Linked DNA regions of Yarrowia lipolytica. Each later gene encodes a partner of the first gene's protein in a complex. Links are inferred from orthologs where the notes say so. Each region holds a gene or a part of one and is shown in the gene's direction. Other genes may lie near its edges. The genes, in order: YALI1_E33268g, YALI1_D17410g, YALI1_F09803g and YALI1_A05491g.

Region 1 (3,680 bases):
AGAGTCCCAAAGATTTGGGTGCCGGGCATTCGGACGATAATGTCGTTCTGGATCTTCTCAATCACAACCCCTGTCTCCTTGTCAATCTTAGCCTTGATGAAGGGAATGTCGAGAATCTTTTTGGTCACTTTTCTGGCATGGAAACGGAATGTGTTTTGAAGTCCATCAGCAAAGATGGTGTGAATAAAAGAAAGGAAGTTGCCAAGGGCTGTGAGAATGACGCTGAGTTAGTATATACATGGCTGGGTTGCTCTAGCTCATCGTTTCCAGATCAAATCACATGAACAGCGAGTAGCTGTTAATTGTATGTCGTAGCTAACATATGATGACTGATATCATGTCCGTGTGCTCCCGGTCGGACGGTCGGATGTACGGCCAAGAGAAGCCTCTGTGAATAATTGCTCCAAGATCTCATGGGTAAAACGTCGTGAGTGTCATGGCGTCAATGGTATCTCTGTAAGATCGCCTTTTACTTGTGTCGTTTTGATTCTCAATGGGACCGTGTATACTCACACAATAAATACCGCATCTCGAAATCTGGGTTAGTAGTACTCAAACAGTCTCATCCTTCGCTTATTCTCACTTTTCATAGGTAGTGGCATTCTGGAAATGCTCAATTACCTCAGCCCTCACGCAGTCGTGCTTCGAATGAAGGTAAGCGACCGGAGAAGCCTGGAACTCGTGGTAGTGCTGATGCAACAGGGCATGGAGCTCGTGGACGCATTTCTGCAGACACTCCAAGTGGGGGATCGCCATTGTTGTGTTTCTGTGGTGTTGGTGTTGGTGTGCAACAAGAGAAGAAATTGTGGGGGTTATAGACAGGTGCACTTGTGTGTCGGATGCTTACTGCCTGTGGTCTGTAGTGAATGTAGCCACTTTAGCTTTCGAAGCTGCATCTAGATATCAGGAGGTGAGATATTAACTCCGGGGAATGCATGGATGCGGTTGTCAGCGGGGTTTATTAAACACACCATTGATGGGCGCCAACGGTTGGGGCTTGGAAGAGATTCTTTCTTAACAGAATTTCCTATATATTGAATGCCTTCCGGCAACTCAAACATCCTTCCTCCCCCTTCTTTGCACTTTATAACTCCTCCACACTGAAATAGCCTCAACACATTCCGTTTAAACTTGCTTAGGCGATCTACTGCGTCTTATTATTATTGGCATCTGAGAGCTAATAGCGAGCGATGATTGAGGTATTAGGAGAGGCCAAACTAAACACAAGTTACGTGAGGCTCTGAAGCTATTTCTATGCCCGCATTATTCGTTTCAGTAGCTCTTTTTCTATCACTTTATCATTCTATAGTTGTATCCTGTTCCCACATTCTCCGCACTTTCGCTTTTAGAGCTAAACTCCGAACGAGTTTTTTATCATTCATGTGAAGGGAAGGTAGGCGGAGGTCAGTATATCGAAGCAGCATGTGGAGTCGCCTGCGTGTTGTTGTTTTTTCCAAAGTCGATTTTTCTGTAAATATCGCCACCATCTTCATCAGCTATTATCTAAACAGAGCTACAAGTAGTGAATAATATCCACAGTTATGGGGATCGAACAGGCAGGAGCTGCAAGAAACTCATAACCTGTGGTTAATAAGTGGCCGATATTTCTTGCTCTCTAGCTGCAAATCTGAACAACCCTGACCTTACAATAGTTTATTCGGGCCTTTCACTCATTGCATAATCCTGCTTTAGCACTCCATATCGCTTTAGTAATCAAATGTATCAATTCTGCACCTCCCAACCTAATTGTCTTCATCACCAACATGGAACTTGTGGATCTGGAGTCGATCAAGACGACGGTGGACTCTTCTTCAGTTCGGGAAGAGGCCGTTGCGGCCCGTCAGCTGTTGGAAAAACAACGTCGAGCTGATATTCTCAAAAAACTGCATGTTCCTACAGACGATAAGGATGTTAGAGCGAAACTACGATCGTTGAATGAGCCCATTACTCTTTTCGCAGAAGACAAAGCTGATCGACGGACCCGTCTGGGTCAGCTAATGGTGGACGAGTTTGATCGGGAAGGTCTGCAGGACGAAGAGAGCGATTCTGACGTTTCTATGGACGACGACGAGTTTTTTACGCCAGGAAGTGAAGAGTTGCTTGATGCAAGGAGGCAGATAACAAACGACAGTATCTTGAGAGCAAGGGACCGACTCACGACACAAAAGCAACAGTCGGAATTGTCCCTGGTGGAGACAGTTAACCTACGACGAGATAAGATGGCCCCTATAGAGCAGTATCAGCTTCTGGGATCACAGTTCGTTTCCACACGTCCAGCAGGGGCCGTGGCTTTTGGAAGCGACTCTATACTGGCTGCATCATCGTGGAACGGCGAGATCAAGCTAATGGATGTACCGAATCTGAATACCAAGGCTGTGTTGAGAGGGCACGTGGATAAAGTAAGTGCTTTGAAATGGGCACGTAATATCTTGCTGAGTGGATGTGGAGAGGGAAAGCTGCTGTTCTGGGATTCCAGCACAGAAGGCAACGAACATACTGCATACAGAACGGTGTCTGAAGCCCACAAGGGCCGTATCGCAGGTCTAGACGTTCATCCAAGCGGGCAGTGGGCTGCTACCGCGTCCTATGACTACACCTGGGCTCTGTGGGACATTGAGAGCGGTACCAAGCTGTTGTCTCAAGAAGGACACTCTAAGGGTGTCCACTCTGTGGCCTTCCACCCGGATGGAGCTCTAGTAGCCTCTGCTGGCTTGGATGCAGTAGGCAGAGTGTGGGATATGCGATCTGGACGAAGTATTCAGACTCTGGAAGGCCATATCCGAGAGATATACAGTCTGGGATGGTCTGGTAACGGGTTCTATCTTGCATCTGGATCTGCTGACGGATCTGTCAGAATATGGGATCTGCGTGCTCAAAAATGTTCCCACACAATCCCTGCACATACAAAGATTGTGTCGAGTGTTCAGTTTGACAAGTCGGGCTCATTTCTCGCATCTACGGGATACGATGGCGACTTTAACATCTGGAATGCCGATTCGTGGACCCTGGCTAAAAGGTGGAAGACGCAAGACCGAATCATGGGCATGGATTTGGGACCTGGAAACGAGTACTTCGCCACCTGTGGCTGGGATCGAACAGTGAAGTTGTGGTGCAAGGAGTAGGCGTTGAAGGGGTAGGAACACATACCGTATCGGTAATATATTGCATTCAAACTACAAGTACTTGTAAGTAAAAATAGAACCACTCAATCCGTCAGTAATTAATTAAACCTCCTATAATACATAATATATTTCATCATTCGTCATCCGTCTACTCTGACTGCGTATTAGGTCCATCGGCAGGAGAAAGAGCTCGTCTAGGAACCGAGCTCGATCTCACACCGTACCTCGCACGTGATGTCTTGGGAGCTGCCTCGCTCTGTCTCTTGAGCTGCTCCTCCAAGTTCTCCACCTTAACCTTGAGCTCTGCAATCTCCGAATCCCGAATTTCTCGCTCTTCGTCGAATGTGAGCTTTCTGAGGGCAGAAAACTCACCATCGGCACGCTGGTTGGCCTCAGCCAGCTCGGTTGTAAGCAATCCCACCTTCGCCAACGCCTCGGACGCGCTCTCGGATGCCTTTTGGTATTCGGAACGCATGTAGTCATTCTCATTGGACCGAGCATCAGCAGTAGCATTGGCCTTTTGCAGGCTCGTCTTCAGCGCCTGAATCTCCTCCTGCT
Region 2 (3,089 bases), on another chromosome or scaffold:
CCTCATACCTTCCGTCGCACGCTACCGCCCGTCGCACGCTACCGCCTCGCTGTCCGTCGTACCGCCTCGCACTCGCGGGCTCGCCGGACCTCCTACCACTTTCAATTGGCTGACACCTTATCCCTGTGTGTGTTCGGACTATGCGCTCATTGTTTACAAGTATGACGTGCATTATCGTAGGTGCCAAGAGCTGAGATACTGCTTGCTGCGGCTATCTATGGGGTTTAGCGGATGATATAGAAACAAAGGCTGGCATCTAAGCAATCTGGACGGGGCGAAAACCGAGTCGCGGTCCGTGCGACACGAAAAACACGTCTTTTCACCCCCAGCAACGGAGTCTAGCTCCCGCCCCAACTCTGTGATAAAGTTGAAAGGAAGAATGCTAACAATAGATTGTAAACACAAGGGATGTGGGCCAGAGAGGCGCTTATTCGCAGTGGCAAGCAGGGAAAAAGTCGTTGATCACGTCATTAACAACTACAAGCAACAGTGTCGTTGCTTCCTTTCGTCACGTGATAGCCCCAGTCCCGCGTTTGGCCCTCTCCTCGATCCCGCCGCCTTCCCCCTGCATCTACATACTCCAAGGGATGACGTGCAGGAGCCAAGCGTTCATATTCAACTCTAACCCTGGCTCTGACGCGGTATATATATATAAGCGGGGAGGCGTCTCCGTCTTTCGTCTTTCGTCTTTGTTAGTTCCAACCAACGTTCGTTTCTGCCACATCCACCATGCGACTCTCCACCACTCTCATTGCTGCTCTCTCCACCCTGGCTCTTGCTGCTCCTGCCCCTGCCCCTGCCCCGGTCAACGCCATCGTCAACGGCGACAAGCTCAAGAACATCGAGCACCTTGGAAAGCGAGACCTCAAGAAGATCGCCCAGGAGAAGGTGATTGTCAACGGCGACCAGCTGACCAAGGAGGCCAACTAATTGTGTCCGACAAGTGACTGAATGTCAAAGATACGACATGGTCAACCACAAACCAGCCTAGAGAACACTTTGCTCACTGTATATTTAATCAATTAATAATGACTACAACATGTTGCCGTTGATGACTGACGTGATATCACCGCTTGATGACTAACAAGTAACATCAGTTGGATAGAGATGGATAAAGCGATTCGAGGGGATTATTTTGATACTTGACAAAGAGATACCAGGGATATACTGAAAGGAAAGTACTTGTAGCTACTTGTAGGTTAGTCGTAGTCCAACGAAGGTGCGAGTCTCTCTTCATTATATCATCATTTTTTATTAAAACATATATTTTTGATTATCATTAATAATCTTTCAAACAATCTCCGATTTGCTGACTAAGACTACACTAATGGGTAGTCTACTCAAGCTGATTATTTTGATATTATGTAATCACACCTCGATTACTAGGGACAATACATAGTCTCTGATTTGATGACAAACGAGCTATTCGCTAGACATGAAAATTACACCAATAGAAACCCCACTCAAGCCCATCATTTCTACATTTTCAGGTCTCCCTATTGTCCAACAATAATTCCATCTCTGGACGTTCGACTAAGGCAAAGGTATACCTCTCCAACCTCTTCTTCAACAGCAGCAACCAAATAAGAAATGGAGAAATAAATAAATTAACAAAAGAAAAAAATAAAAAAAGGAAAAAAAAGGAAAAAAAAAAGAGGACCAAGAAACAACTCGAAATTCCCATTTTTTTTAATGCACAAAAATCAACCGCTTTTTTGTCCACTTCGGCCGCCATACCCAGTTACCCTACTGCATGACAATCTGCACACAAAGTTGATCCTCCAGTTGTGCATCACCAACGAGACATTGCACTACTGTACACACACACACACACACACACACACACACCGTCACACAAGATGATTGTGAGTATGATTGGAAAGAGCCATCATGTGGCAACCGACATCACTTGAAGATCTACATCACGTGACCAAAAGTGTTACATGATTAATCTCAAAACGCTCGATGGGACGAGCAGCTCCAGCGTTTTGCTAACACAGGTACCAAACAAGACAAAAATGGCCGATCTGGTCAACTACAGGCTCCGGGTGACGACTGTGGATGGCAAGCAGATGGTGGGACAGATGCTGGCGTTCGACCGGTACATGAATCTTGTTCTAAGTGACTGCGAGGAGTTCCGGGCAACGAAAAAGTCGCTGCTGGAGGCAAAAAAGACTATCCAGATCGAGAATGGCGACGCTTCTTCCGTGTCCATCACTGAGGAGAAACGGACTTTGGGGTTGGTCATTCTACGAGGCGAGACTGTGGTTTCTGTGTCTGTCGAGGCTCCTCCTCCCACAGATCCTACAGCTCGACTGGGCAACACCGCTCTGACACCCGGATCCGGGTCTGCCAAGGGCATCAACCGGGCCATCCCCACAGGTCCCAGAGGAGCTGGAGGACCGGGATTGGGAGGTCCCGTGCGAAGTGCGCCTGGAGGAAGAGCTCCTCCCGGGTTCCAGGCTCCTCCTGGATTTGGACGGGCGTAGACGCATACACACGTCTGGGCAGAACTGTGAAACCACGCGGACTGTCATGTTCGGTGACTAACGTCCGAAACACAGGATTACACAGCCTCAAGAGCACTCAAGAACAGCCCCGAACAGAGTGTTTAGTTTTGGAGATACGGCATAGAAAGAACCGGGAGCAAAGATGAGATGGGGGACAATGGCGCACTCACTCATGGCTGGAAAAAGGTATATAATATAATTAGCATAATAGGGAATGGACGTGTATATTGGACTATCTTCTGATACGAAACGGTGGAGCACTGTACAAGTGACAGGACTACTCCACCACCGACGTGAGCTCTTACTATTCCTCTGAGCCTGTGATACCCATTGTGCGCAAGATAAAGATGGAAATGACAGCTACAAACGAGCAAGTACGACTCTAGACTTCCTTACGATGAACTCTGAAGTCAGTCATATAGCTCGGTTATACATTCTTTTGCAAATCTGATGGGACGATAACAGTGATTGTCAGAAATGCTAGTATATTAATAATATCTGTTGTGACATGGAACTACTCAAAGCAGTGCTTACATTCCTCTAAAATCTTCAGTTTGTTTCCGTTTCCGTTTTCGTTTT
Region 3 (3,607 bases), on another chromosome or scaffold:
CAATCCTGCAAACAATGCGACGACATTTCTGCGGTTGCAGCACCTCTGAACAAATGGCTTCAGCACAGGGATGTCCGCATCTTCAACTCGCAGTCCGGTGACCTTCTCCATGCTTTTGGTCAGCACAACTCGGCATTGAAATGAGTGTCCTGAAACGTGAATGATGGAAACATGGTGACTTTCACCCGTCCAGTAGGAGTCGCCAATCGACAATTTCAGGGTATGGAAAGCCGTCTGTAATTGGCGATTCGAGGTGATTTCCTTGTTCAGCTGGGCTCCAATTTCTCCTTCCAGTTGCTGAGTATCTATCTTGTCGTTGTTGCTGGTGAGCAGCTGCTGTACGAGCTCCTGAGCGTCGTTTTCGGCACTCTGAGAGCTTTCTAGCTTGCGTATCTCCTCTTCAAGAGCAGCCACGCGCTTTCGATACAGCTGGACGCGTTGCAATAAGCCCTTTTGTGTCGTCATGAAGTGTGGAACTGAAGTCACAAGAAATCAAGACACGCGTGGCATGATGCATGAAATATGCACAACACCAGATTTATATAATTTCCGTCTAAAATTTGTAGAAATGCCAAACTACGAGAGTAGCCATTAATTGGTGATAAACAACCTGTAATCTGGTTCAAAATACCCCTCTCTCTGTCTGCTTGTAGTATGTCATAATACTACCCATTCTTCCGATTTTCCCCCATCCAATTCACTTGATAAGCAATAAGCAATAAACAACAAAAAAACAATGCAATAAATAGATACATACCGGGGGCTCTCTACTTTCCGGTCAACTTCCAACCTCTTCCCACAGGGGTACTGAAACATTCACAGTGGTAGCCTCCATAGAGATCCTTCAGAATCCATTCGAAAGAAACGCCCTTGAAGCCCTTCCAGCGGTTGCTATTAGCACTCCACTTCTTCTCCATCTGCTCCTCTAACATTTCCTGGTACGACTGCTTTTTGAGCATGTTTATAAACCATGTTCGTGCAGAGGCACCCAGTTTCAGAAACACACCCACGTTAGGCACACAGACATTGTACATTTGAGCCTCTTGAGGATTCATGGTCAGAAACCCGCTCTTGACGAGAGTAGAAGCATTGGGAAGTTCATCGAAGCCAAACTCCACCCGACTTGGATGGGACAATAAAAGGATCTTGAATTCCTCCAGAGCCTTCTTCTGATTTGCCACCTTGCACTCTTGTATGCTCTGATCCAGCAGCTTGTAGAACTTGTCTGCCTCCATTAGAAGCACGCCTTCATCAACGTTATTGACTGCCACTTTTCGCAGTAGTCCTGCCTCGACGGCGTCGTTCACCCGTCTCAAGACCAACGTAGGCTCTCTCAGGCTGTATGCGTGCACATGGGTCATCTTGACTAGAGGAGGCACGTTCTGACGAGCTTCATAAGTAGGAGCTGTGTACGCCTTTCCGATTGGAATCTCCTCGTACATGTTATCCAGAATCTCTCTCACCACCTGCACAATGTCGTCTCCCAGACTGTCCTGCTTCTCCTGGTTCTTCCACTTGAGATCGCTCTTGAGAGACGTCACTGGCAGCTTCTCCTGTTGGTTTGCCTTCAGGTAGTCGGCCTTTTGTTTTTCGAGCTGGTTGATGAACGCCGCCTGGCCGGGCATTAGAGGCGGCTCCTTGGCCCGTCGTTTGCCCACTCTATAAGACGTCGATGCCGTGAACTTCATGTTGTGTGTGTGTTGATATGAGGGTGCGTGTAAGATGTGTGTTGAGATACGGTGAGGTGCATGAGCAGAACGGTGGCAAATCAGGACATGAGATGTGACAGAGAGGCAGTCAAATTGCAGTGTCGGTCTTGGTGTCTTTGTGTCTGTGTGTGGTACTCGCTGGCTTCTTCTCATGAGGGCTGGATCAGACTCAGTTATTTTGGAATCTGGTCACATGACTGCATAAACTTTAAATTCTGCCGAACGCAAAAATCATCACTCCTTCACTATGCATGAAATCCTATCACCGTGTGTACATCACCACTTTACACCACGCAAAACCACATAAAAACAGCACAGATGGACAACCCAGCGTGAGTATAACGAGAAAAGCGGGATTTGGGGAGGATGATCAAACGAGACGGACCAAATGATGGCTGGAATACGTGATGGATGATGCGATTGTGAAGTGATTTGTGGAACCCAAGAATGAACGGTGTGCGACAAGCAGACACTGTTATTGTTTGGACCCGAACGGAGAGTTGTGACAGCGTTAAGTGAAGGGATTGACTTTTTGAGAAGCTGTGAATGCCTTAATCAACTTCTTTACTAGGTTAATAGTCTCATGTAACAGTCAGATGAAAGCATGACTGCCCAAGACGCACGCCCGCAATCACTCCTACCACTCCGAACGACATCCCTAACATGGCACTTCGCGAACGGCACTGTGAGCACGGTATCTTGGTTGTAACGTTCACTGCGGATTGTCTCACGATTCATGACACACGAGCATGAAACAATAAGCAAGATGAATGGTACAAACATCAGCAAACAGCAGGATGCTTGACTGGCGGTCACACAGACATATATGGGGGACAGTTATACCACCGTCTCCCTAGTTTCGCCATTGTTCAACATGCCTAATCTTGGCTCTATTCATCATCCTTGATTGTGCCTGACGTCCGATACAGACAGACCAGACATATCCTCAGGCGCACAATGCATCTTCTACTGTTGTCTACCAGACCTGCGATCCTCACACCCGTCTTATACTAACCCAGTGAACTCCTAAACAAGGACAAGTCCACTCTCACCGACGTGGAGCTCCAAAAGCTCGAGGAGTACGAGTTCTCACATGGCCCCCTGTCGCTGCTGCAGCGGGCAGTACAGAACCACACACAGGTGCTGATATCGTGCCGAAACAACAAAAAGCTGCTGGCCCGAGTCAAGGCGTTTGACCGGCACTCCAACATGGTGCTGGAGAACGTGAAGGAGATGTGGACGGAAAAAACGAAAACCGCCAGCGGCAAGCCCGGCAAGACCGTCACCAAGGATCGGTTCATCAGCAAAATGTTTCTGCGAGGCGACACCGTCATTCTCGTCGTTTCTGCATGAAAGGGAGGTTGTATAGTAATTATTTATGCATTTGAAGGAGGGGGTACTTGTAGATGTGGCTGTAAAATGGACATCCACCACCGCTGTATTAGCATCGCGCATTGAATAAAATAAATAGGCAGTAGGCATATATACGTTAGTCCCGTAACCATTTTAAGCGGCTCTGGTTGGTCTACTACTTGGTCAATGAGACTCTTGATAGTGGTGGTAATAGGGAAGGGTTGCCGTCAATTGCACTCTTCATCGCACTCCTCAGAAGTGTTTTGCATCGCCCGGATAACACCTCTTCATTACCTCGGTCATCTCAAAGCGATACTCCTCCTTATTCCATCCCCTGAACATGAGACACAGTCCATGGAGATGCGAGAATGTGTCCATGATGTCCAACCCTGAAGTCTCGTCCACAACCACCAGATTGGACTCTGCAAACACCCTCTTTTCCCCAACTCCATCGACCACCACCTGGTAGTATGCCTCTGACTCCTCCATGCCCACGTCGATCTCTCGGTTGGGAATCTGAGCTGTTTCTTCATAAGCTGTTTCGG
Region 4 (3,392 bases), on another chromosome or scaffold:
GTGAGTGATGCAATCGTCAGATGTTGGTGTGAGGTGTTTTGGTAGTATATACGTACTACGACTACGGTACTTACCATAATCTACTGCGGATACGGCTAAATTGCGTACACTATGTACAGTACTGTATGTACTGTGCACTTTTATATGTCCCTTGGATTGATTGAGTTGTTATCAAGTGGTTGGATTGTTTTTTATGAGCCGGGTCGTTGAATTGTCGGTGAATTGTCGTTGTGTAGTTCTTGAGTTCTTGAGTTGTAGAGTTGTAAATTAGTAGAGTCGTCCTTGAAAGTCCTTCACGTTGCACTGAACTGTTAAACATACCCACCACTCTGTCCTTCGGTGTGATACGAGTCCAGTCCGCACCCGTACTTGGAGAACAACCGCGATCCTTGCGGATGAATTGATGACTACAATGTACACACATACGATACACATGAAGTGGCTCAAATAGGCCCAGGCTCTGATCCGATAGTTGGAGAATTCAGAGTAATTCACGAAACGGGTTTTAAGAGATCGAACTACAACCCATCTATCGACCCGAGCTTTCTCGTTCGACCTAGGAGAGTGTGGCAACTGGTCGCCAAAAGGTACAAATTTCACCAGTTCGACAACTTCAAGATGTACTGTACTGCTATTTACTACCTAACTCACGAGATTACACCACTCATTAGCGTGAACGAGAGCTGTGTCGATTAGCAGTTACCAGCAATATCTGGAAGTTCCGGTCCCGAAAGGCCATTCATCGCTCATAAACACACTTCCTTTTAGTAAGCAGCAATTCCATATATCCAACCGGACATGGGAGCCATGCTCATACCCTGGACGCTAGCACTAGATTCGGACCTTTCCGTCGTCGACGAGAAACGCGGGGGAGCCAACCGTGAAATGCGTGTGGGGGCTATCGGTTCTCCAAGTAGCAAAATAGACGCCATTGACTGCTTTGGAATGGGCCATTGTCTTCTTTCTCGGGTTTTATCAAGACTTCAATGAAACCCCACATGGAAATTTGTACATTGCTTGCAAACACAGCGGGTCCGATCCGATAACATTCTCTTCTCACAACCATTTAGAAGAGAATGAGATAGCAACATCAGGACAGGAAGCGCTTGCGACTGACCATCTGCGGTTCTGAAAGGAGCAAAAAGGAATGGTCCCTAGCAGGATCGAACTGCTGATCTTCGCGTTGCAAAGTGGCTATTTCTTATTAGCACGACGCCTTAACCAACTGGGCCAAGGGACCTGGAGATATTCCCGTTTTATAACCAGACCTCTGACTAAGCAGACTGATGACTCAGCCGCAGTAGAAAGGAATCATTAGAATAAAAAATAAAAAAAGTAGAATATAAAAAAATGGTGGCCATATTGAAGGTATGGACACTGTCGTAACCGTGCAGAAAGATATATTAGAATACAGGGAACAGAGGACTTTATGTTATCCTTTTTTCTTTTTTTTTTTCATGCTGGGGAAATACATCAGCTACTTGAGTACATCTGTTATACCTGCAAATCGGATCTGGATTCAGTTGTCCAGAAGAGCGCATGGCATTCGTGTATGGTTGTTCACGTATTCTTCTTGTTTCATCTATTGACCGGTAAATATATCAGCAATCATGATTACATAATTCGACAATGCTGACTGCTGAGATTGATCCAAAAATATCGAAATCGCGGCGGATTTAGCTCAGTTGGGAGAGCGCCAGACTGAAGTAATTCTCAGTCTTGAAATCTGGAGGTCCTGTGTTCGATCCACAGAATTCGCAATTATTTTTTTTCTTCAAAATTCAGGAAACCTTATTTTGCAGTATCAGTGTGTAGACCCTCAGATCACGGCCATCATCACCACTTCTACAACAAGCATTTTACCACAACAAGGATGGTGAGTATGAATTTTTTGAGCAGTGGAAATGCTACAGATGATGGATATGCGTTATTGGTAGTCAGGCAGACACAATGACGGGGTGTGAGAGGGACGGGGTGTGAGAGGGGACCATATACTGACGAGGTCTGATGCTGTCAAGACAGGAATGCTGTTTGAAGAGCTGGACCAGTGGCGTACCTAGCGGGGTATTGGAGTGGTTATGGATACCGAGGTATGGACTGCAAGTATTTGTGGTCTTGTGTCTCTGATCTCTCGTTTTGTAGTTGGATTCAACTCAACATCTACAAGAATGGAAGGACGACACGGTGACACTACTGCTGCGTCTAGGCTTGATATTGTCTGCTACGCAAAGCCTTTTCCGAGAAACCCCATATCAAGAGTCCGCCGTGAAAGTCATGCAATTTTTATGTTGTTTGTGTTTGTGTGGTGTGACAGCAATGGAATGTCGTTTTTCTACAACCGTGAATGAGGGGAAAGTGAGGCACTGGAAATGGTCCAATTTGCAGCTGACTCCTTGGCAAGCTCTTGTCTCGCTCGAACGAGGTGAACCGCATATACACTAGTGACATGTGTGGTCTAGCTCTCCTCAACCATGCTTAGTTAACCTCCGCTTCACAACTGATTCGCCCACAATCATCTGTCGTCGCCACGCACATCATCTCCTCTACTATCATTACTAACCCAGTCAACCCCTTTCAATCCCACCAACCCCAAACCGTTTCTGCAAGAACTCACAGGCAAGTCCGTCATTGTCCACCTCAAGTGGGGCAAGACCGAGTACCAGGGCACACTTGTTTCCGTCGACAGTTATATGAACCTGCAGCTGGAGGATGCAGTGGAGTATGTCGACCAGGAGAACAAGGGCGAGCTAGGCGACGTTTTCATCAGATGCAACAACGTACTGTGGATCGGAGAGAACGGGGTAAAGGAGGAGACCAAGAGCGCAACCGCAGAGGTGACCGAAGAGGTCAAGGAGGACGTTGAGATGGCTTAAAAGAAAGAACGGGATGTATTGTATAATAGAATGTAACGCAATGGTTGTAGAGTATCTCCGTAGTCTGTTCGCCGACATATGTTTGCTATATATTGTGAGCTGATTTCTGCTGGTTTACAAAAAACTCAGGAGAAGGTGAGAAGCCCATGGTTCTTACTATATCTACATGATACCAGCAACCAGTACAGTACAAGTGCCATCAAGTCACACTCTTTGGGAGGCATCTTCATCTTCCACTGCGGCAAGTGTGTTCAGTCATTCATCTCGATCCTGCTCGTGTATTCAAACACTTATGACAATCGGCTCAAACAACAGGAAGGCCATCACGGACGAACTATTCTCGGCATCGAATACATCTATCCTCCCTGAAGATCCCCATCAACCTTTATCTATCTTCTTTTCGAGTACACGATGAACACGGCTACAATGTCAAGGACAACGAGAACGGTCCTTCCGATATCGCCATCAAGTCGGAGGACGACAACCCGTCGAGCTCCAAGATTACCAAAAGGCCTTGAG

What was found.
Region 2: YALI1_E33268g (region 1) and YALI1_D17410g share a complex: the UniProt entries of both Saccharomyces cerevisiae proteins name them as parts of the U4/U6-U5 tri-snRNP complex. The link is inferred for Yarrowia lipolytica from reciprocal best matches to the Saccharomyces cerevisiae genes PRP4 and SMB1.
Region 3: YALI1_E33268g (region 1) and YALI1_F09803g share a complex: the UniProt entries of both Saccharomyces cerevisiae proteins name them as parts of the U4/U6-U5 tri-snRNP complex. The link is inferred for Yarrowia lipolytica from reciprocal best matches to the Saccharomyces cerevisiae genes PRP4 and SMD2.
Region 4: YALI1_E33268g (region 1) and YALI1_A05491g share a complex: the UniProt entries of both Saccharomyces cerevisiae proteins name them as parts of the U4/U6-U5 tri-snRNP complex. The link is inferred for Yarrowia lipolytica from reciprocal best matches to the Saccharomyces cerevisiae genes PRP4 and SMX3.

What each region holds. Positions count from the first base shown.
Region 1 is NC_090774.1:3,324,873-3,328,552, reverse strand, and holds YALI1_E33268g (uncharacterized protein), read left to right. Parts: upstream 1-1,763; coding exon 1,764-3,122; downstream 3,123-3,680. Other genes in the region: YALI1_E33285g (uncharacterized protein), read right to left, coding at 1-29; YALI1_E33278g (uncharacterized protein), read right to left, coding at 510-537, 584-756; YALI1_E33234g (uncharacterized protein), read right to left, coding at 3,271-3,680. UniProt on the Saccharomyces cerevisiae protein: Involved in RNA splicing. Is required for the association of U4/U6 snRNP with U5 snRNP in an early step of spliceosome assembly.
Region 2 is NC_090773.1:1,739,100-1,742,188, forward strand, and holds YALI1_D17410g (uncharacterized protein), read left to right. Parts: upstream 1-1,943; coding exon 1,944-2,489; downstream 2,490-3,089. UniProt on the Saccharomyces cerevisiae protein: Plays a role in pre-mRNA splicing as a core component of the spliceosomal U1, U2, U4 and U5 small nuclear ribonucleoproteins (snRNPs), the building blocks of the spliceosome.
Region 3 is NC_090775.1:978,355-981,961, forward strand, and holds YALI1_F09803g (uncharacterized protein), read left to right. Parts: upstream 1-2,027; coding exon 2,028-2,041; intron 2,042-2,728; coding exon 2,729-3,062; downstream 3,063-3,607. Other genes in the region: YALI1_F09788g (uncharacterized protein), read right to left, coding at 1-465; YALI1_F09802g (uncharacterized protein), read right to left, coding at 768-1,862; YALI1_F09833g (uncharacterized protein), read right to left, coding at 3,315-3,607. UniProt on the Saccharomyces cerevisiae protein: Plays a role in pre-mRNA splicing as a core component of the spliceosomal U1, U2, U4 and U5 small nuclear ribonucleoproteins (snRNPs), the building blocks of the spliceosome.
Region 4 is NC_090770.1:548,367-551,758, reverse strand, and holds YALI1_A05491g (uncharacterized protein), read left to right. Parts: upstream 1-1,873; coding exon 1,874-1,876; intron 1,877-2,564; coding exon 2,565-2,873; downstream 2,874-3,392. UniProt on the Saccharomyces cerevisiae protein: Plays a role in pre-mRNA splicing as a core component of the spliceosomal U1, U2, U4 and U5 small nuclear ribonucleoproteins (snRNPs), the building blocks of the spliceosome.